3 linked regions of the Oreochromis niloticus genome follow. The main gene of each other region encodes a partner of the protein of the gene in region 3 in a complex. Links are inferred from orthologs where the notes say so. Each region holds a gene or a part of one and is shown on either strand. Other genes may lie near its edges.

Region 1 (7,422 bases), about 14 Mb from region 3:
CTTGACGTCCTGAATACAACACAAGACTAGTTAGCCTCCGGAGGCTGTGTCAGCAGATTAGCTGAAGGGTATGCTGACTGGGAAAAGTGGCAAAGAAAAACTGGATGCACATTCAAAAAGACGGACACAGAGTCTTAAAAAAACAAACAAAAACAAAGCTCAGTCATACTGAACTCCTCATAAGAAGGACTAGTTCACTGTTACTTCTGAGTCAGACGTTTGTTAAACTAAAAGCATGTTTTGCCAAATTACATCCAACTGCTGAACTTCCTTCATTAGCAGAAATCCTCTGCCTCCGTGAAAGAACTCTGAAGTAAAGTGGAGGTAAAATTAAAAACACAAAAAGCTAAAAAAAAAATAAATAAAAATCCTCATTGTTTCCTTGTATTTATGTGCAAACAAATAATGAGCCACACTTTACCCTCAGCTGTTTAAATATTAAATCCATTCTCAGCTGGTCTGGAGGCTCAAAATAAGAGTCTTTATTCTTTATTTGGTTTTTGCATGTGAGTGCTTTTATATGATTTAAAGCGACATAAAAGTACAGCGATCATTCATATTCAATCACAGGCACTGACAATAGCAGAAGGTTAATACTTTCAGTAGCTGCTTATTACCATTACAATGTTTACGCTGATTTAAGAAGATTTTTTTAAAACTTTACAGTAAACTGAATTTAAACCTGCCAGTCGGAGAAAATTAAAGTATTTAGTGACATTTCACAGGCTTTCGAAAAGCATGATAGGCAATAACTGTCAGTTACAGAATCAGTATATTAAACTGTTGATTCAATTGCGTCACAGACACCGGCCGGCTGCCAAATTCAAAATGTTAAGGTTTCTATTTTTCCTGTCCATTTAGATTTGACTAGAATACTTAGTGTGCATGTAAAGTCCACTTAAAATAGTTAAAAAACATGATGGGAAATCAGTTATTGTCTCAGATGCTTAATAATATAATTAACTACTTATGGATTTGATAAATATTGTAAATTAATTAAATTTCTTTTTTTTTTTTTAACTTAAAAAAACAACTCACAAATTGACAACAAAGAGAACTTTTACTTTATATGAGTAAATTTCCAGTATTTTCAAACCTGGCCCTAAATCATTAATAGAAACAGTAACGGTTGTTGATGATCCACATTCAGAATATGAAACATTATCTCATGAAAAGGCAGGAGTTTAAACTCTCACCTTGGCTTTAAGCATCCCGAAGCCCACCGTTTCTTTGGCGTACATGCACAGCAGCAGGTTGGCGACACGAGTAATGGCCACTCTTCCCTCCTGAGAACGACAATGTTAAAGGCAAGAAGACCACAGTATCTCAGTTTATTACTTAATGATGGCTCCACTTTTTCCCACATCACACAAATCTTTCACATATACCTGAAAAAAAAAGTAATAAAAGATGGGGGAACAGCATGTCTTACCATACAATCCATGAGAATGAATTTGAGTTTGTCTTCATTAAAGGCTTGATGGCCGTTCTTGTCATAAGCTGCCCAGATGTTGCTGGCGATAGCAGCTGTCACTCGAGCGTCGGTGTCCCCGTACCCAGAGTACGCCAGGAGTGAGCCTTCATTATTCAGTAAGCTGGTGAGAAACCACATAACCAGCAGATTAATATTAAATTAATATAATAACTTTCAGAGCACAGACAAAGTTATCAACTAAACATAATATATACTCTAACTAAGGTGTATACTACACGAAAATGTATTTTATTTGTATAGGATTTCTTACTACACCATTTTACTAGGCAAGTCTGTTTAAGTAGTTTAGGACTACTGTGAAAGTCAGGACAAAAACACCATATGTACAGTGGTCCCAGTGGTAACAGAGCACTCGGTGCGATTAGGCGAGTGGCTCCAGCAGATCCCAGAAACAACATCGGAGATCTCTGTCCAGAGGAGCACAGTCCTAGGAGCAGCAAAGATACTGTGCAGGACCCTAAAAGCTCCCAGGCCTCTGGTAGAGGTCCGGGAGCTTGAAGGATAAAGAAGCCCTGCAGTGGCAAAAGGTTTTTTTTAAATTATTATTATTCCCTTTAAAAGCATATATAAGTGGTGTCATATACTAACTCATGACAGAAAATAGTGATGACTACTTGCACAATTTTAATAGCACGAGTTGTTGATTCTAAAGGTGTGATTTTCTTTTTCTTTTTCAAAGAGGAATTTTGGTGACACCAACTCGCGTAAACACAACTGATCAACATATAGTCACAGTCTGTATTATCTTACACACAAAAAAATCGTTTTAGTACATATCTGATGCCCTTTTTCCTCTTTGGTGGAATATACCATTACATAAACACAGTTATTGTAGTTTGTAATTGTATATTATTTTGATATAAAATTAGGACAACATTGTTTACCTACTTATTTTTGGAAATTTGACAAACAACTGTTTATTTTATGCTTAAGGAAATTAAACCCCTGTGGGGGGAAATGCCTGACATGAACCTATATCAATTATTTGGGACATTATACTGAGACTGAGATAATGATCAGACACACTGACTATATAATAAAGTAACTTGAATTTTGTGTTGAACACTTCCAAACAGACTGTGCTGGTTGTGAAACATCAGCAGCTCCTCTATGCAAGATACACACTGTTTGATATAATAACATTTTATTCGTCCCGCAGGGGTTATATTCAGTTTTAGAGAATATTCAGAAGACTTAACATGTGTATTGCCTTTAAATTTATATGTAATCGTCAAAAAATGCACCGCTGAAACTCCAGCAGCAGTTAGCATGTGGCTAGCTTGCGGCTAGCTCGCCGTACTCACAGAGTGCTCTGGACTCCGTTTGTGTTCGCCTGGCTGAGAACCTGCGTCAGCGCCTTCGGCCGTAACATGGCTGTTCACCCTCCGATATAAGAGATCAAATATAATAACACTTATTCAGTTTACGGGACGCGACGAGGAGCTTTAAAGTGCCCAAACTGCTCAGAAACACACAACCAAGTCAGCTGATTCGGTTTTCATTTCCGGGTCCGATCGCAATGCATCACGGGAAATGTAGGTATTTCAAAACCTTATTTCACCCCTAAATTCTTTTATACAGTTTTTTTTTAAAATTGGTTTGGCACCATTTTCATAACTAAAGTGTGCATTTTTAAATCTCTCAGTACAAAACTCACATTTGTAACACCACTAGTTATTCTTTCAAATCTGATGTCATGATTTCATTGCATTTGCACATATTTACATTCCACGTAATCATTGTATCAGAACACATGATCACTGTGATATATTTTGAGAACATTTGCTTTAATCACCCAAACAAAACAGTAAGCTCTTTTTTCAACTTAGTACTTTTACCAATCACTTCATTCAGGAGCAAATAATACAAGGTAAGCGATTCAAATTGTCCTTGGTGATGAATGAGTGTAACTGAACTGTAAAACTGTACACAGCAAATATTATACTTATGTTCAGACATAAAAAAAAATAAAAAATATATATATATATATATATATATATATATATATACACACACACGCATATACATACACACAGACACACACACACGAAAAAGGGAGAAAAACAACAAGTCATTTACATAAGCATAATATATTTTTATGTTATTTTATTCTTATCACTTTTACACAATTAATCAAGCCGGTCATTAACATTGGGCCATAAATTTTCATCAACATCACAGTGGATGTCTTCGTTGTTCAGGCACCGTGGGAAAAATGTCCTGGCATGACGAATCCAGGCTTGACATTGCTCAGCAGTTATATCACCACAAGCTTCACACATGAAGAAGGGAGACATGCTCATGGGGATGGCGATCATACACCTTCCACCTCCATGTAGAGAAGAATTCCTTAATTGGGTTGAGGAAAGGGGAATATGGTGGAAGATAGAGGGTCATGAAGCGAGGATGTGTTTGAAGCCATTCCTGAACCAGCTGTGCATGGTGGAAGCTGACATTGTCCCACACAACAACATAGACGATGTCTTCTCCCTGACAGGCCTGCTCCAGTTCATTAAAAAAAAAACAAAAAACAAAAACAAAACAAAAAAAAAAAAAAACCCACACACTCTCAGGTGTTCAGTGTTGTATGACCCTAGAACTGGTCTACAGCCTACCACACCATCTTCAGATATAGCTGCACACATTGAGATGTTTCCCCCATGTTGTCCAGGGACTTGGATGGTAGCCCTTTGTCCAATAAGGTTACGTCCTCTGCATCTAGTTTTTGCCAGATTGAAACCGGCCTCATCAATGAAAATATACTTGTGCTGATTCACAGCAGCGTCCTGTTACAGTAATTGCATGCCAGTTTAGTGTTGTACCTGAATATATTCTGAACGCAGTTGTTTCACCCGGACATTGTTCCTCTCAAAAGGAACCAAGTAAATTTGTTTCATGGAAACCTGGTGCTTCTTCAAAAGCCGGGCAATCGTTGGAAGGCTAATTGATGGCACATTGGCAAAGGTGTCATTGCTGTTCTCAACAGCCTGTTTGATTTCAGACAGCCGTATGTCATTCCTTGCCCTGACCATTTCCACCACAGCCAACTCCTGCTGGTCAGTCAAAACACGTGGGCGACCACCACCAGGTTGTCTCCTGTTAATTCTGACAATCATATACTGTCAATATTGAAGTATTACAAATTACATTACTGTAAACTGACAATTACATGTTGTTCATCTATACAATAGGGTACTATTTTTTAGAAGTGAAGTTGCTATAGCAGACATACCGGTTTTCTTGGCGAAAAGTTTGGATGATAGAGCTGACAGTTGACCTTTGTAAATTAGGCTGTACCACCCTGGCAGCCTCAGCCATGGTAAAGCCTCTGTTAACCACATGGTCAACAATGATGGCCCGGACTTCATTAGAGATGATGGTGCGTTGTCTTCTGCCTACATTTCTCTGAAGACCACCTCTCTGTCGAGGAGCACCACCACCTCTTCGATGAAGGTTTCCTCTCCCTACGAGTCTATCCTGCTCCATATTTGAACAGTGCAAAGTCTCAAACACAGTTCTACTTATATGGTAACTAATTGTGATCATCAGGGGGGAAACAATTAGCAATTAGTATTTCTAGATTGAAAGCTCTTGCAGCCATGTGTAACTTACAAATGACCAGACAACAATCAGTCAAGTTGAAAATCCATGGACATAATGAATGATTCATTGATTAAACATTAAGATCAGTTGAATTGAATGACAGACAAATGTATTAAACTGAATGATAAGAGATGCAAATCAAAAATTTTGTAGTGATAACATTATGAAAGGCAGTAACTGTGAACGAAACATTTATTTAGATGAAACACTTATTTTGTGTAGTGAAAAGGATATTTTGTCATTATGTGTATTGTACTAACACAATTGGAAATATGCTGAAATGTTTGAAAAAGGTGCACTTTTGATGATCTGTTGTGATATAAGTACGAAGAGTTTTGAAAATGTACCAATTGCTTGTGAAAACTGCGCCAAACCAATTACAAAAAACTGTAAATACCACACACAGACCACAACGCATGCATCAGGGTCAGTGAAGGTTAAAAAAAGGCCTGGGAGAAAGGGAGTGAGTGGATGGACGTCGTGAGGGAGCAAAATCACTAAGAAAATTATTTTTTAATTTTTTTAATACAATTTTTTAAAACACATTTTAAACAAAATATCAGATATTCTGATAAATATAAATATCACAAAATATCAGATTTCAGATCAGATGCAAATTTGTGAAAAAACACATGGAAAATTGTGGGTTTTTTTATTTGATGAGCTTTGCAATCTGCCCAAGGGTATCCTGTCATTTGCCCCATGAACCGTCCCCCTGACACTAGACTGAATACCTCAATTCAATTTTCAAAGAAAACAAAATTAGAAGACCATCAGTAGTCCTATCCAGTAATATCCTTTATGCTGTCTTTGACCCTCATAAATGTGTATGTGTTTATGGCGTTTTAACCGTTTTCTCTGTTTTCCTTTTCAGTGTCCTGTTACACACTTGTAAAATATGCCCCATAACAGATTTTAAGCATTTTTTTTACCACGCTTGCTATCCCATGTTTACCAATATTACAATATTAAAGAGACCCTTAATTTGCCTATTTATTACTCACTTTGACATGTAGAGCCTTGATTCTAACAATTTCATGTCTAACACTGATAAGATTACAAAAATCTTGGTATATACATAACATTTTTCTTTTCCTGATTTAAATAATAATACACATTAGAGGTCCAGCTGGTACCTGCTCCTTGAATCTGTATGACTTGGCTTGCATCCAGCAATATACGAGTCTTGGGTTGGTCAGCATCAACAGTGCTCTCAGAATCAGTGTCTGCTAAAAGTTTGGATTTCTGCATATTCATGGAAAATTACAAACACTGGGATCACTCTGAATGTCTTTAGTAACACATTATTTCTCTTCTTGGAGGACAGGAACCGAGCTTCTACCGGTGAAGTATTCTTGGGTGTTCCTGTCACAGTAGTGACCTTCTACACCTGATCTGAAGAACAAAGAAAGCCTGCCCATGTTCTGCTACTACACATTTTACCTAATCAAGTTGTTCTTGGGTTCATTTTCCTATCAACAGAACAAAGAAAGGATGATTAAACTGAAAGAATAAACAGTCGAGTCCAGTCAGAACAACTTTCCTACAACATCAACTCTAAATCAAGGCCAACCTAACGAGTCTGCCACACTACAGCGACCTTTACCATAAGGTCTTAATTTTATTGGTACAAGTTCTCTCTGAAACCTGTAAGAGCTGACATTTATTGTATTTTTCTTCTCTGCCCAAATAGCTACGACATCATTTTCACCCTGATCTTCAACATTCTTGTTTTTTTTCCTGTTAGAATTTTGCTTTTGCTATGGACAATTTACTCTGTATATTCTCACTGAAGATACTGATTTTAGTCATTCAATCTTACTGAATAAACATGTCTTTAAAACAACATGCTTTGAACTGCCAGATATCTATTTAAAGATCATTTAAGCAGCCAAGACCATATAGAGGGACTCACTTACAGTGCAAAAGGTCAGTAAATAGTTCGATATTTTCAAAGCGTGGGTGATCATTATCAACAGATCTGCTCAGTAAGCTCGGTCAACAGCACTACACCCAGTCAGTGATAAGTTTAGTCATCAGCCACCTCCCTCTCTGAACAAAAGACTTGTATCGCTTTTCATTAAACTTTGCAAACACTACCTTCACTGGAGTTACTCAAATCCTCGATCTGCACTAAAATGCCCCGTAATCTTATCAGTTTTAACCCTGTTTTTATGAAGAGAACAATCTGTTCAGATGACTGCTTGGATTTTAGGGAACACCTTCTCAAACACCACAATCTGTACAAACATTTAAAGACCTATCAAGATCAGTCAGTCTGTGGCCTTTACCTAGAATTTTTCTGATAACTGAACCATATAAGT
Region 2 (7,478 bases), on a different chromosome or scaffold from region 3:
AAAAAAGAAAAAGAAAAGTAGTACTCCAGCAAATGCAATGTCATGCATTTTCACAGGCTGTAATGAATAAGCTTGTCAAACATGATTTACTAAATCTACATTACACAGTACTAATTTAATTTATTTTAAATTTTATTATAAGTTTTATAAGTTAAGTTTTATTATATTTTCTAGACTTATGACCATTTTATATCAACTTGAAAAGGAAACAGGTGAGTCCTGGTTTACCATAGAAAAAGTTTTTAATTCCACAAATCTATATAGTAAACAGAAAACTTCAAACTTGAGTAAATCTGCTTTTACTCTCTTATTCGTATATTGTCTGTTGGTGCAGGTCATGTAGGATGTTTCCTCAGCAGGCTGCCAGGACAAGCAGTTTGGGTGTGAGTGGGAGGACAAAGCTACTGGCTAATGATCAGGTCTCAGACTGGCTACAGGATGAGCCAAAGGCTTTTGGTGTAATGTACAGTATGCCATCCCCAGTCAGGTGCCACAGCCTGGGAAACAGGAGTCTTTTTAGGCTTTCCTCTCAGGGTCAGCCAACCTGCTGCCCTCTATGGTATTCTGGAGGGCACAGTGGAGTGGTGTGGCAGAGCATGGTGTGGGTGATGCATTAGGCAGGCCAGAGGTTTGCAAAACAGGAAAGACTTCATCTCTTCTGGATTTTAAAAAAAATACACTGAAAAATGCTAATAATAAGCCTGATGTACAAACTAAAAAAAAAGCTATTTCTGGTGTCACATTGTGGTTGCTTATCCCCCCCAACCTGTCAGAGGTTTTTAAGGTCATTTTCTTTTAATGTCTTGATTGAAATTGACTGCAGCATGCTACCCAGCCAGCTTTATTCGTGGTATAGTTCTCACACAGTGCTTTTTAAAAAAAATACTTCAGAATACTATTAACGTCAGCATTTCTGCAGGCCACCTCTGTCAGTAGACTGCAGTCACGTTATATTCTCTGTTCTGTCCATCTTTTAATGTTGCATGCTCAGTTCCTAACCACTTCATCCTCCAACTTATTTGTTCCACCCTGTGCCATTAGATTCCCCTCCCTTAGACCCTCTATTGAATGTTTTCTTCTTCCTTTTCGCCATTTTTCTTTTATGCAGAAACTCCTACTGCTGCATCTTAGCCTATTCTTGCTACCACACAAGTGTCCCTCTCCAACCATGTCTCCACACAGTTCTGTCCTCTCTAGAGCATTTCATGCTTGATGAATGGGAAGCTTATGCCAGAGGTATGAAGAGCACAGCTGACCACTGAGCTAACAGAAAAGCCTGCTGCCTGCCTGTTTGCTCTGGGATTGATGCCAGAAAGCCCCCCGCCCCTCCACGCACACACACACACAGATTGCATTTATATCACTGGGTGCAGGGCACCTTTATGGCAGTGGAACGTGCTCTGGCTCAGGCATGGACCAAAGTGCAAGCAGCACCACAAGGAGGTGCGTGTTCAGGTAAATATCTTCCCCATGAGTGACAAGGTGGGAGAAACATTTTGCAATGCCAGTGTATTTAAAGCTTTAGAGCACGTTTTTCCAATGGTGGCAGACCTGACCCTGAGTGTGTGAGAGAAAATACACAGGGAGACTGCAAATCAACTCCCATTCAGCTCAATGATTCACTGCCATGTCAAGCTGAATGTTACCTTAGAGTTCTTATGCAGCTTACATCGGTTTTGTACTCCATAAATAAATAAGACTTTGTTTTAAGATTATGAGTGGAAACATTATATATGCTAAGGATGCCCAGTTGCAAGCCTGACAGCATTGGGCAACATGTCGCAGCAATACTGCGTTAATTTGCCTTTAATTTTTAAAATACATGACCAGATCGTTAAAGGGTAAATATCAAAGAGCACTGGTGTTTGGAAATGATAAATGTTTTCTATATCTACATGAGAAATGACACGATTATCTGCTTTAGTGGATGTGGAACACAAGCAACGCGTGCAGGAAATACTATAATCACTACAAGCCATCTTGCATTTGTTCTAAGCATCGGTTTTCTAAGTAAACTTCAGCTACTTGTCTATTTAACATCACTGCAATGTTAGGTGATATTCAGACGCCAAGTAGCGCTATTTCAGTAAAATTAACACTGTGCATCAACAGTCTACCGACACAGCAGCACGGTATGGCATACATCAGCGGCCGACTGAAGCGATCACATGTGCTTCCATTAAGAGCACACGGTGTCCTGCTCTGTTGTCTGGTGGAGAGTACAGTAACAGAGGCGAAGCCGAGGGATGCTACTTCTATTTAGCTCCAAGTTATCAGGATGCAGCTAAAGATAAGCTACAAAAGACCGCGACAATACTGTCACGTGCGTTTTCTTGCCACAATGCTGTTACCACAGAAACACAAAGGGGAAAGAGGAGGGGGGAGCAAGGGGGAGACAAAGAGAAAGCAAGATACTTCTACTGTAACTTGCAAGCACCATTTGACTATCTTCGGGATGACAATAAAGCGTTTTTTCACTTATAAGCTGACATAAACAATTATTTATATGAGCAAAAAAGTGATGGCTAACGAGCTGAATCAAGTCCCACCAAGACAGCGCGTGCAGCAGCCTCGCTAGCGTCCAACAGCTAGCATTAGCATGTAGCTAATCGCACCAACAAGGCACAACACGTCTCTCACGTCGCTCTACACTTTCCAACACTGATGTCAAATCAGCCAAACTACACAACGCTCATCTGCTGAGTGCCTCGAGTTGAAAATAAGCGTTGCTCCAAAAACACTGTCATTCCTTTCAGACGTCAAAGCGAAAGCCATAGATATTATTAACGTACACACGCACAGCCCTACACACAAACCACAGGCGGACACACACTCACGCACACAATAAGCTACCTGAAAGCTGGGTCCTCTTTGCTACACCTCGGGGGCGGCGACGAAAACGCATTTCTCTTGTTAAAAAGTTTCTGAAAGAGAGTCGGAGGCATCTTGTACCAAAATGAATTCGGTACAGAAAGTCTCTTTCCTTTTTCAAATCCACGACCAAATCTTGTTCCTTGTAACTGTCTCCATGGGTGTCACAGTCATATGACACGCATTAGTCACAGGAGCAGCTTGGTAACCCACTACATTATTCTGATTGGCTCACGGGACGCCAATGCTGCTACAACAAATTACCCGATTGGCTGATATTTTTGGTATAAGTACCACGTGGTGAGTGGATTTGCTGTGTTGATGTTTTGTCGGCAATCGTGACTGCATGAAATTTATTCACACTAAAAAAAAAAAGTATCTAAGTGCGACTGCTGAACGGCTTGACACACACACACCCACACACACTTCAGATATTATCGAAAGACACAGTTAAGAAAATAATTAACTGTAAGAAACGCGTCAAACACAGAACGAGTGATCGCCCCAACAGGCATTTTATTGTATTTTTATTTGCTTTAGACACTTTCTGAATCAAATACATATGCAGATTTTGAGGACAAAGACAAATATACATAAATATGGAAAGAGTATACCTAAAATACATATCTTATACATTTAAACTTTGCTTTTAAATCATTCTTCATTTAGAAAGTCTATAGTAACACATGTTACGAGAATAAATACAAATATAGACAAGCACAACAAGCAAAAAACATATATATACACACACACATATACATATATATCATATTTAAAGGTGGAAAAGCTCACTGTATGGACAAGACAGACAATGTTTTTTCAAGGTAAATGCATATGTGCCATCTAGTGGTCATTTCACATCACACTTTTTTCATATTAACCTAAACGCCAGTCTAGCATGTCTCTTTAATTAGTACTTAAATGTTATTTAAAGTTTGTTCCATCGATTCTTCTCTCCTTCTTTTAAATACTAACAGACCATTTTTATATAGGACTTTTTACAATTAGACTAATCTAATCCAGATGAGGGGGTAAAGCCGGAGTTTTATGCATGCGATATTCTAGCTTTAAATGTGGCAGGAAAGATGGTTCGGTGCACTAAACAGCTGTGAAGGGAAATAAAGTAACACTTCTGAGTTTCACACATCTTTCTCTCATGACCTGAAAGAGAGTATCTCTCTCCTTGTCAGTGGCAAAGTCAAAGAGCTTGGGTTCCCTGTGGCTAGTTTTCACAGACCTTTTTAGCAACATGGTCAGAGGTAAGGTTTCCTCTTCCGAGCCGATCTCTGCATCAGGCTTCAAATCCTCAGGTGGGCTGGACATTTGCAATGGCTTGTTGAGACTGTGAGTCATTAACTTTGAGGCTGGGATGCATTTTCCATCAAAGGTCTCAGCAATTACAGGGCTTTTGAATGAAACCTTCTTCTTACACAAGATAGGTCTTCTGTAGCTGAGCTGTGGAGTAAAAATCATTTCAATCATGGCCGTGATCCCCCTTACTTTTGTTTCTAACAAAATAAAATGATCTACATCATATCAAATTTAAACAGATGTAAATAAATGGGCAGATGACTTCTTACTCTTGGTGGGGTTTTCCTCTTCAAGGCTTTGTCTGCAAATTTAAGACAGAAACCACAAAAGTAGTCGTAATAATTATACAATAATTTTTTTGTGGAGTAGATATTAAAAATACACATGAAATATATGCACTTGCCAGCCACTTCATTAGGTACACCTTGCTAGTACAGTGGTGGGCCCCTTTTTGGTTCCAGAACTGCCCGAATTCCTTGGCTTCAACAAGGGGCTGGAAACATTCTTCAAAGAATTTGCCCCATATTGACATGATAGCATCACAGAGTTGCTGCAGATTTGTTGGCTACATATTAATAATGTGAAGCACCTGTTTCACCACATTCCAGAGCTGCTCTATTAGACTGAAATCTGGTATTTAATTGTGGTATTTAAATGATGCTCAGTTGGTACTAAGGGGCCCACATATGCCAGGAAAATATTCTCCATGCCATTACACCACCCCCACCACCAGCAGCCTGAACTGCTGCTAAAAAGGCATGGTTGATCCATGCTTTTATTTTGTTAACACCAAAATCTGACTCTAGCCTGTGAATACTGCAAAAGAACTCGAGGCTCATCAGACCAGGCAACATTGTTCCAATCTTCTCTTACTCAGTGTTGGTGAGCCCTGCATTTAGAGATCCTCTTGCTTGCAATGCTCTGATTATTTGAGTTACTGTTGCCTTCCCATCAGTTGAAAGCAGTCTGGCCATTTTTCTCTGACCTCTGGCATCAAAGCATTTTCTCCAAGAGAACTGCTGCTCACTGGATATTTCCTATTTGTTTTAGACAATTTCCTGTGAACCCTCAAGATGGATGTGTGGGAAAATCCCAGTAGATCAGCAATTTATAAAATACTCACACCAGCCTGTCTGGCACCAACAACCAAGCTACGTTCAAAGTCACCTTTCTTCTCCATTCTGATGCTTGGTTTAAACTTCGGCAGGTCATCATGATCATGTCTACATGCCTAAATGCACATAGCTGATGCTATGTGATCGGTTGATTATACATTTGCTTTAATAAGGAGTTGAACAAGCATTCCTAATAAAGTGGTCGGCAAGTGTAGTTTGTAATAATAGTCATGCTCCAAATACTACTTGAGGAAGATGTGTTTCTCATGAAATGAGAGCCTTTACCTGATTTCAACAAGTCATTTTGTATTTTAGCATCAGATCCGGCTTCTCTGTTGTTGCTTGATAAAGAAATAACAAGGAATGAAGCAGTTAAATTGCGTGAGCCACAAGTACTAAACACTGAGATTCAACTGAGAAGACTTACCTGATCTCACAGGTCTTTTCAGCAAGAATAGTGGAGGCATCTGCAGACAGAGTTACTCCTTTTCAGACACACGGCTATGGTTTGGGTACGCATATAAATAACACTGTATTTAATTGAATCATATGTTAATTTGATTGCTCCTTCTAAAAGAGAAACATTTTAAATGTAAATATCAGATGGAGTCTAAGGAGCTTGCAAAAAAAGACGTACCAAACATGACTGAGTATGACTAAAGTTATATGTTTAACACATTTGTTCAATTAAGTGGAATTTATTGAATTGAAAAAAAGAGAGAAAATTAAAGTGTGACTAAGATTTTCTCCCAGTATTACCCAGGATGGTAGAAAGGTTAGGGGGATGATGCATGTGTATGCTCTCAGCGTGGCTGACATCCAACAAAGTGGAGTTTTTTATGTGATGATGGAGACCCAGCAGGTCTTCCCCAATGGAGAAATTGAAGGTTTCCACTATCAAGACAAAAAAAAAAGTGAGAAATGACACCAAGTGTGCCTGTGGATATACAAAAATGTACACATACAAATGCACTCAGACACATCCTGGTTTTCTCTTCTGAAGATCTCTGGAGAGGGAAGATTGTTAGAAGTTGCGGAGGTCAAAAAGTCCTCATCCTCTGTGTCACCAGAGCTGAAAGTTGTGTCAGTCTCCATGCTAGATAATGTGAAGCTTTCCGGAGTCACTGCCAAGCTTTGCTCGTCTTCTTTACCCGACATTTCATCACCTTCATGAGCCTCTACTACAGTCACCTGAACGGCAGGTAAGGTTGCTTTGTGTCCGGTAGTTTCAGTAAGTGCAGGTGTGCTTAAGCTAAAAGTAGATTTGGGGTGTACAGTGTTGGCCTGTGTGAAAAGAATAAGCATAGAAAGGGGGAGTAAATAAAACTAATCTGGTGACTGAAGGTTATAGCACATGATTCTAATGCTGTTTTATACTTATTAAACTATTCAGTGAAGTTTGTCTTTGGTTGCTGATTTTTTTGCTGTAATAATTCTTCTTGGCAATAAATCTTATACAGCTGGAAAGCACACAGTAGTGTGCGACCAAGCTGGTGTCTGTGGTTCTTCCACAGGCTACTGAGCCCCCTGTCTGTTAAAAGAATACACTGTTAAATTGTCAATATGCATTTTTTATTCAGACTTCAATCATCCAATCCAATAAGAGACACCAAACAAGAATCAATAACAGAATAAGCTGTCTGGCACTGGCAGAGAAATTTGGCAGGTTGTTCACCCACATACTCAACTCCTCAATGCACCATTAAGGGGAAATACAGAGTATAAGACTTATCGCCAAGAAGCGTTGTTACAACAAACAAATCATCAACCAAACATTAATTTCCTTATTTTTCTGAATAATTGCTCTTCATTCTTTTCTCACATAATCTGATGTATGACCACTGTGACCAGATTTGCTAATGTGTTCTATAGAACAAAATGCACATGTCACTTTAACTTCTTGCCAGTTTATTGGGGGACTCGTTGTGGCTTCAGCATCAACATTCACTTGTTTTTTTTCTCTACGTAGATTCCTTCATATTTTCTTCTTGTCACCCATATATGTACAGTCGGCAAGGTATCATTTATCTTAATTGCCCCTTGGGGATAAATAAAGTGTCTCTGACTCTGATAATTGTGAGCTAGTAAATATTAACGGACATCAGTGACTGTTAGTCTTACATGAATACAAAATATCTGGGCACACTTACAGATACTGGGCTCTTTGGTTTGACAGTGGAG
Region 3 (7,746 bases):
AAAACCATAAGCATGTTGTTCAAACTAATGACATGCTGTCATGAGTTTAGGTTAATTTAAGAAGAAAATGAACCTAACCACATCTAAAAGAAGTGGTTTTTAAACTTTTTCACACACACTTCAGAAGCTGAGTCAAGGTGACACTGCACATTTTTTTTAAACCAGTCATCAACAAGAAAAAAAAGATGCACGTTGAATTTTGTTTTAAAAACTTCAGCAATTTCATATTTTTCATCTGGTTGTCTGAGCCCCACCTGTGGGACCTCCAAGCCCCACCAGTGGGACTTGTAATTCACTCAGAAAACCACAAGAATTTGCTGGTTAGATTATCTTTCTACCCTGGAACACGGTTCATGTTCCAGTGTAGAATAATTGCACAGCCAACATCTTTAATGACTTTAAAAAATAAGAATTGGGTGTACCAGTTTGTAGAACCTAATCATTTTATAGCCAAAGTCTTTACTTGCCAAGGCCTATTAACTTTCTCTCGTTGCCAGCATAAACAGATTTGTTTGACAGCACTCGGTGGATTAACCAATACTTAGAACAATGAGAAAGTCAAAGGAACTCAGGGAATATCTAAGAAGAAGAACTGCAGATTTACACTAGCTGGGACGGTCTCTTGGATCCATTCTAACAAACAGATCAGAAAATACACAGATTCCAAGGTTATCAGTTAAAACCGTTGTATGCAAGAACAAATTATTCAGATATGTCACCACTTTACCAGGTTCTGTAAGAAGGCCCAAACTGTCACCGTCAGTTGATGCTGGAAGACTTGAGCCAGGAAGCATCAAGGCTCAAGTCTGCCTTGAATTGTCAAGCATTGTGCTCGAAGACCTTTTGACTGACAGTCAAATAATATGTTGTACAAAGTGGATGGGATAATGACCACGCAGTTGGTATTCCCACAGGATAATGATCCTAAACACATCAAACCTGGTTTTGGAAGGGATAAAGCAGGCTGGAAAAAAAACATTAAGCATCTGAAATGACCTTCCCTAAGCCCTGACCTCACTCAGAAAATATGTGGACTATGCTTATAAGCTGAGCTGGTTCAATGAACCAACAAATCTAAATGAACTCTGCCAAGAAGATGGGTGAACTACCCAGCCCTCAAAATAGGCCAGATACTTACTGAACAATTAAGGTGCAACTTCCTAAGGAACATTAAACCAAATATTAGAGGGAGCGTATATATATATATTTTAGTTTGTATGTTTATTTTTGACACTGTGTGGATTAGAGAAAATCCCAAATAAATTCAATTTTGCACATTCAGTTCTTGTTTTTTAAAGTCATTAAAGATGTATGCTTTACAGTCATTCCACCCTGGAAAAATAACAGTTCAACCAAATCATTTAAAGCCCAAAATTACTATGAGAGTCATGTTCATGATGAGCAAACTTCTGACCACAACTGTATATACATAAATATCACGCCTCTTAATCGAGGTCAATACATCTACCTGTTTGTCTCTCTATGAGCACCAGAGTGTCCTCGGTGGGGGCTCCTTCCAGGAGCTTCTCCGTCAGACGGCTACCACAAGCTTTAAGTAACCTGGAAGTGAGGTGAGACCACTCATTAGCCGGGTGAGAGACTGACTGGAAAAAGAAGAACAGTTTCTTTGAACCTAATGACTCACCAGCTAAAGGAGGAGTGCAGGCTGGCCCACAGGTTAGGATGCTGGGTGAGAGAAGTCAGCGAACGGGCTGCATTGCCGCTCCTTTGGTGTGGAAAAACTGCAGGTGAAAATGCACTGTTCATCCTCACAGCTCGCTGCGGACAAACTCCCTGTTCATTGTCAAACACCTAATGGAAAGGATGGTCCAAAGACATCAGAAGCACTAATAAATAAGTCTGCTGAGTTTATTATGTTTATATACGTGCTCTACCTTTAGAGCTGTGCTCTGCAGACTCTGTATAGTAAGCTTGAGGTGACGCAGCAGGAAAGGCCAGGAGTTTATAAGGTAGATTCTGTCCATGGCTACCATAACAATACTGTACCAACGCTGGAAGCCTCTAGCGAGACTGTCTTTGATAAAGAAGGTGTGTGAGAACACAAATCCATGTTGCTCATCTCCAAAAAAAATGGGCCCTTCACGTCCGGGACAGACCTGACACCAAAACAAACAGAAAACATAAAGAAGTATATCAGTAATCAGCCGATTAAAGCCCACAGACAACACCCACGTAAACATGTCACTAATTACCTCACAGCTGAGACTGCGTACACAAGCCTGTCGGACCACGCTGAAAAGCTGGGGCTGTCTGGGGTGCTGGTGGCTGAGGAAGCGGATGCCTGTTTCATCATCAATGCTAACAAAGCCCGGGTGAGATGCAGGCAAGGATCGGCAACCCTATGAGACAAAGAAAAAAGGAAATTAGTACTTTAAGGCTGAAAATTAATGAAGAAACAAATAAAGCGAGGGATCCAAGTATCTGATAAGGTCGCAGTCAGGCCCCTTCTACTCACCTCACACATTTCTTTCTGTGTGGCTGAGCTGTTGGCCTTCATGGTTAGACCTTCACCATCACGGTCACCATCTCGGTCCCCTGGCACTTGGGCACCTGCCTGGGATGAAGGGGATGGGGAAGGCGGGTGTAGTGCCTCAGTGCAGAACAGGGTCCGAGGGCCATGGAGCTCACAGAAGTGACAGAGAGCCACCAGAGCATTCATCTGAAAGAACAAAACAAGTTTTCATATGTTTACTGTTCTAAAGATGTCTGATTTAGATCTGAACACCCACAGTCATGACACCCACATCTAGTTCTGGTTAATCACTGACGTTACCAGATTACACTGGGGTTAAAATACGGGTACAGCTGGCAGTATGAGACTGTCTTACCTTCGGTGCAGAACCAAGTTCAACAAATGACTGGTGACACTTCACAAAGAGGAATTCATTGGACGTAGTGTTCAAAAAGCCGTGCCGTTAAAAAAAAAAAAATAACAGCGCCGTGAAACAAAATCAAATCTTCATCGAGCCCGTATTTTAAAAAACCATCGTTCCTAACATCTTAACTGAGGCTTTCTACACTTTTTTGTTGTCCTCTGTGTAGCTGCCAGCAGGCAACAAAAACAGACCTCGTCACATGATGCAGAGTCACGCGCTCGGGCACAAATGACGCGTGGCTGCCAACTGCTGCTCATTTTTCTCCGTTTTAACCGTCGAATCAAAAACATCTTTAATACTTTACCAGCGACGTGAAAGCACGCGAACATATTTAATAGTTTTTCAACTTTTTTGTGTGCCAATATCAGGCTTTATGTACGACAAACGACGCATTCCTCGGCAAACGAAAAAGTGGAACTACATTACCCATAACCCAATCTGGTATAACAAACAAGGGGTTAAAGGGGAATAAAAAAAAAGTCGGAACTGTTTTCATTGAAGGTTTGTGTACTAAAAGGTATGTTCCGGTTGATTTCTAAGCGTATATATGGTTTAAATATACTATCTTAGCAGACTAGCTGGTTTATTAGCTTCTCTTTTAACACTGTACAACGTTAATCCGTCACTTCCGCATTAAAACATGAACGTTTTTTATAGGTGTGTCACTCTTAAGTGGTCAACAAAGAGATAACTTACACACAGTGACACGGCAGATCTTTTTGACTTCTAAATCTCAGATCTTAGGATGGCTTCAGGTGGATCAGGAGTTCCCCCCACCGACCCGACTGACACACCGAGTCCACAGGCAGGGGTCCCCGCTGACTCTCAGAGCGGCAAAGACACCCCAAAAGCCAAAGGAGGTAAATCAGTTTCACACACTTACAATATGTAATCTAAAGTCAGTCTGTGAAAGCTTCTAAGGTGATTTGAGGCACATCTTGTTATTAGACATGCACAGTAAAACCCTGCTGGTTGACTCATATGATTACACCAGCTTATTATTTTCCTAGTAATCCACTTATAAATCATATTGTTGAGTCTGTGGTGTGAGTCTGTGTTACTCTGGGCAATAGGAGTTCTGGCCAGGTCTTAGTTTTGTAATCGCGTGGCCGGAGCCTCTTATCATCAGAAGGGGGGCTGAAGGATGGAGTCCAGTACTGTAATGAACTGTTTCCTACATTTTTCACGTCCTGCTGGGGCACTCTGCTTTGCTGGAAATGTTTCAGGATTTGAGGAAATGACTGACTCTGATCTGCCCGCTTCTGCTCCCACTCGGAACTCAGCAGACTAATCTGTGGATTAACTTTATGTATACTAAAGAATTTCAAAGTTGTAATGTTTAATTTTCATCCTTAGACATTTACTTATAGGCATTCAATTTGAGAGAGAGTTAAAAAACTACCAAAATTTGTGGCTGATCCAGACAACCATCTCCCTTTCTAAGAAATAAATCACAGCTAATAATTAAAGTATTTGTGTCATGAGTCACGTTCATTCATCCTGTCTCTAAATAGTATTGCAGGATGTGTGTTATTTGGGTGTAAAGGCAACCTCATCATGTACATCATACTTGGCTGACATTTGAGTCCTCTGAGTTGAGTCATTGCCACTTGTCATATGATAATACTCAATGGAAGTGGACTGGAGATGGACTATACACGTCATTTTCCCCATGCCTCTTTCTCACTCATTTATTTATGACACAGCATGGTAACGGGAATGATAAGAGGGGTTTCTAGTAAATGAACAGACGATAAGGAATCCTTTTTCCAGATGTCTGTGTGAGTGACATAGACTGATGCAGAAGCTCAGCCAAATGTAAACACACGCAGAAGCAAACGGTTAAAATATACGTGAACAAAAAACAGAAAGAAAAGTACTGCACGGCTCTCATGGCTGATCTGACAGGTGCTCATTGGTGGTAGAGGTAGAAAAAACAAAATCCAAGAGAACTCACTCAGTATTATGTATATACAGTAAAAGCCCCGAGGTACTTCATCAGGATCTCATATTTTTTTTCTTCCACTTTACTTTAAGAATGAACTTAAAACTTGTACTTGTACCAGAGGCCATAGTTGTTCATTAGTTTTCTATGGTTGGAATTACACCACATAATTTTGGAAATTTTTCATGGATTTTGGTTTAAGTAGAAACATACTACATCTTCTAAAAGTATGGTATAAGTATCACATGTGTTATCTGATATTGTTAATTTATCATTCATATTGGTTTGCTGAACACTTTAACAGCCACTACAATCTGATAGATGAAGATAGTTTCACTGATAATGAAAACTACTATAAACTAACAGGGTGTAAATTTCCTCTGTTTTACAGCTGGGATCAATGTGAAGAAATACAATCTTTTAACTCGCAGTTTTTGGAAATTGGACTTTTTGTAGGATTCAGCGTAGCCCATGGCCCAGTTACACAGGGTCAGCAAGCAAGTACGTTTGGGTAGTGATGTTGTTTCTTATGAAACTCACTTGTTTTAACATTAAAACACCATCACCTCTGTGGATTGGTTAAATGTGAAGTAAAACCCTGGCTTGTTTTGCAAAGAGAAAGCACAACTGAATCAGGAAGAAGCTAAAATGAAAGTTGTCTGTCTAAATTTGGCAGATTTCTTGTGAACTTGCAGACTGACAACAGCCACACTGTCTCTTTTTAGCAAGAGGGGATCTAAAGAGGGGCACATCATTTTTACAGTTACAATTAAAAAAAATATAGATTCATAATATAAATCTAATTTCAGTTATGCTAATAAATTATGCAGCAATCTTAGCAGAGGATTACGAGTTTCTCACATTGACTTTTTTGGTCTGTGAAAACGAACAAGACGCCGGGGTAAAAGTCAGCTCTACGGTTCTAGTGGTCCAATGGCGAAAAACATTATTTTGAATACTGGCTTATTGTAGCACAGACAGGTACCCAAAATTACGAGTGACCATATAAGATGCTGTAACATGCCTTGGGACTGCTTTAAACAAAACCTGTTGATCTCTTCTGCCATTACATTTTTTTTTCTGACATAGTTTGAATGCAGAAGAAAGGGTGAAATACTGCATGATTTCTGTTCAGTTTTATTAAATGTTGGCTCTTTTTATTTTTAACCTTTTGTTCTGTCTCTCCCTCTGGCGTCCTGTCTTTCAGAGTCAGCAGAATGTTGCAAGGATGGAGCCAAAGTGTGCCAGTTTTTCCGGATAGGAAAATGTCATTTTGGCCTCAGATGCCGTTTAGCTCACAGGTTTGCTCTCCTTACTTTATTCAGAAAAATCATCAGAAGCATACATGAAGATTTATAGTTTTTTTCCAGATAATTTTTTGGCATCTTGTGGTTTTATTTTCAAAATTAACACAAAAGACTTTGGAAATTATTGTAGATTAGCTGCTGTTTATCTTCAGATCACAGGTGTTAGAAGCTTGGTTTGGAGACAGAGAGACATGGATGTAAATATCTTTGGAATGACCTTTTGTCTGCATTTTTTATCTGCGGGACAGTTGGCTAGATATGATGAATACCCTCACTGATGAAATTTCTGTCTCAATCTCCTTGTCTCTGCATTTTTTCCACTGCTGCTCTCATTTCTTAGTGACCCATTACAGGATGATTCAGGGGCTTTGTGTCCTGAAGTGGATGAAAAACAGGAAGGAGAAAAGACACAAGAAAAACACAAGAACAAGAAGGGCAGTGTGAATAAAGTGCCAAAGCCAAAACATGACGAGAGAAGAGGTCACTCCGCATTTATTTAGCTTTCTGTGAGAACATACAGGGAGTGCAGAATTATTAGGCAAATGTATGAGGGGCCGTACAAGCCAAAATTCATTCTTTCACTCTCACACACATACATTCTTCTTTCACACACATATATTTTCACTCTCACATACATATATTTTCACTCTCACACACATATATTTTCACTCTCACATACATATATTTTCACTCTCACACACATATATTTTCACTCTCACATACATATATTTTCACTCTCACACACATACATTCTTCTTTCACACACATATATATTTTCACTCTCACATACATACATTTTCATTTATGCATTCCTACATTTTGCTCTCATTTACATGCATTCAATATGCATTTAATCTCACAAATAATATATGTATGTAAGAAGAGAATGCATACATGTCAGAAGAAAATATATGTATGCAAGAGAATAATGTATGTGAATGAAAGAGTATAGTGGAAACGGAAGGAGTTTAATGGAAACGGAAGGCTGGGTGTCTGTACCGCTGTGATTGGCTGAGAAGCACGCGCGGGTCACTTTCAAGTGTCTGACAGTATGGAGGGGGGAGAAGAAACTCGAGTTCTTCAGCAAGCTATCGGGGTTTTAAGAAATATTTTATCATCTCCTGAAACGGTCACATCGTTGTCCTCGTCACTTGATCGAGATGGGACGGGCTCAACTTTTTTTTTTACGTGCGCTCAAATTTTTTTTAGGTGCGCTCAGAATAGTGGGACAAAAATAAGGCCATAGGTAACAGGCATCTCCGAAAATGTTAGAGCACTTATGGAAATATGTGATGTCTTGATGAATCAAGCAGATATTTGAAGTTTACACAGCACCATTCTCGCATGAAAATATCTTAAAAGTTTATTTTGTGACCTATGGCGTTATTTTTGTGCCACAAAACCAGCCAATCACAGACTTGGATGCAAAAATATCTGATTGGCTGTTCTGGTCTCCAATCAGCTCGAAATGACGAAATGCAATATCTCAGAATCCATTTCGTCCAAAACTCAAACGAGGCAGTGGCAGAGAAGCACAGAGTGGCGGAGTTTGAAATATTACTCTTTCTGGGTTACTGTGGCGTTATTTTTGTGCCAC

What was found.
Region 1: flcn (region 3) and lamtor2 share a complex: the UniProt entries of both Homo sapiens proteins name them as parts of the lysosomal folliculin complex. The link is inferred for Oreochromis niloticus from reciprocal best matches to the Homo sapiens genes FLCN and LAMTOR2.
Region 2: flcn (region 3) and fnip1 share a complex: the UniProt entries of both Homo sapiens proteins name them as parts of the lysosomal folliculin complex. The link is inferred for Oreochromis niloticus from reciprocal best matches to the Homo sapiens genes FLCN and FNIP1.

Annotation. Positions count from the first base shown.
Region 1 is NC_031976.2:35,941,645-35,949,066, reverse strand, and holds the start of lamtor2 (ragulator complex protein LAMTOR2), read right to left. Parts: upstream 3,020-7,422; 5' UTR 2,868-3,019; coding exon 2,800-2,867; intron 1,596-2,799; coding exon 1,433-1,595; intron 1,287-1,432; coding exon 1,197-1,286; intron 1-1,196. UniProt on the Homo sapiens protein: As part of the Ragulator complex it is involved in amino acid sensing and activation of mTORC1, a signaling complex promoting cell growth in response to growth factors, energy levels, and amino acids.
Region 2 is NC_031975.2:21,990,884-21,998,361, reverse strand, and holds the start of fnip1 (folliculin-interacting protein 1), read right to left. Parts: upstream 3,064-7,478; 5' UTR 2,946-3,063; coding exon 2,854-2,945; intron 1-2,853. Other genes in the region: uncharacterized protein LOC102081985, read right to left, coding at 3,970-4,326, 4,452-4,483, 5,583-5,638, 5,725-5,764, 6,057-6,191, 6,263-6,581, 7,448-7,478. UniProt on the Homo sapiens protein: Binding partner of the GTPase-activating protein FLCN: involved in the cellular response to amino acid availability by regulating the non-canonical mTORC1 signaling cascade controlling the MiT/TFE factors TFEB and TFE3.
Region 3 is NC_031976.2:22,273,370-22,281,115, forward strand, and holds the start of flcn (folliculin), read right to left. Parts: upstream 3,092-7,746; 5' UTR 2,850-3,091; intron 2,681-2,849; coding exon 2,477-2,680; intron 2,361-2,476; coding exon 1,896-2,360; intron 1,813-1,895; coding exon 1,646-1,812; intron 1,561-1,645; coding exon 1,469-1,560; intron 1-1,468. Other genes in the region: leng9 (leukocyte receptor cluster member 9), read left to right, coding at 3,643-3,757, 6,050-6,143, 6,490-6,629. UniProt on the Homo sapiens protein: Multi-functional protein, involved in both the cellular response to amino acid availability and in the regulation of glycolysis.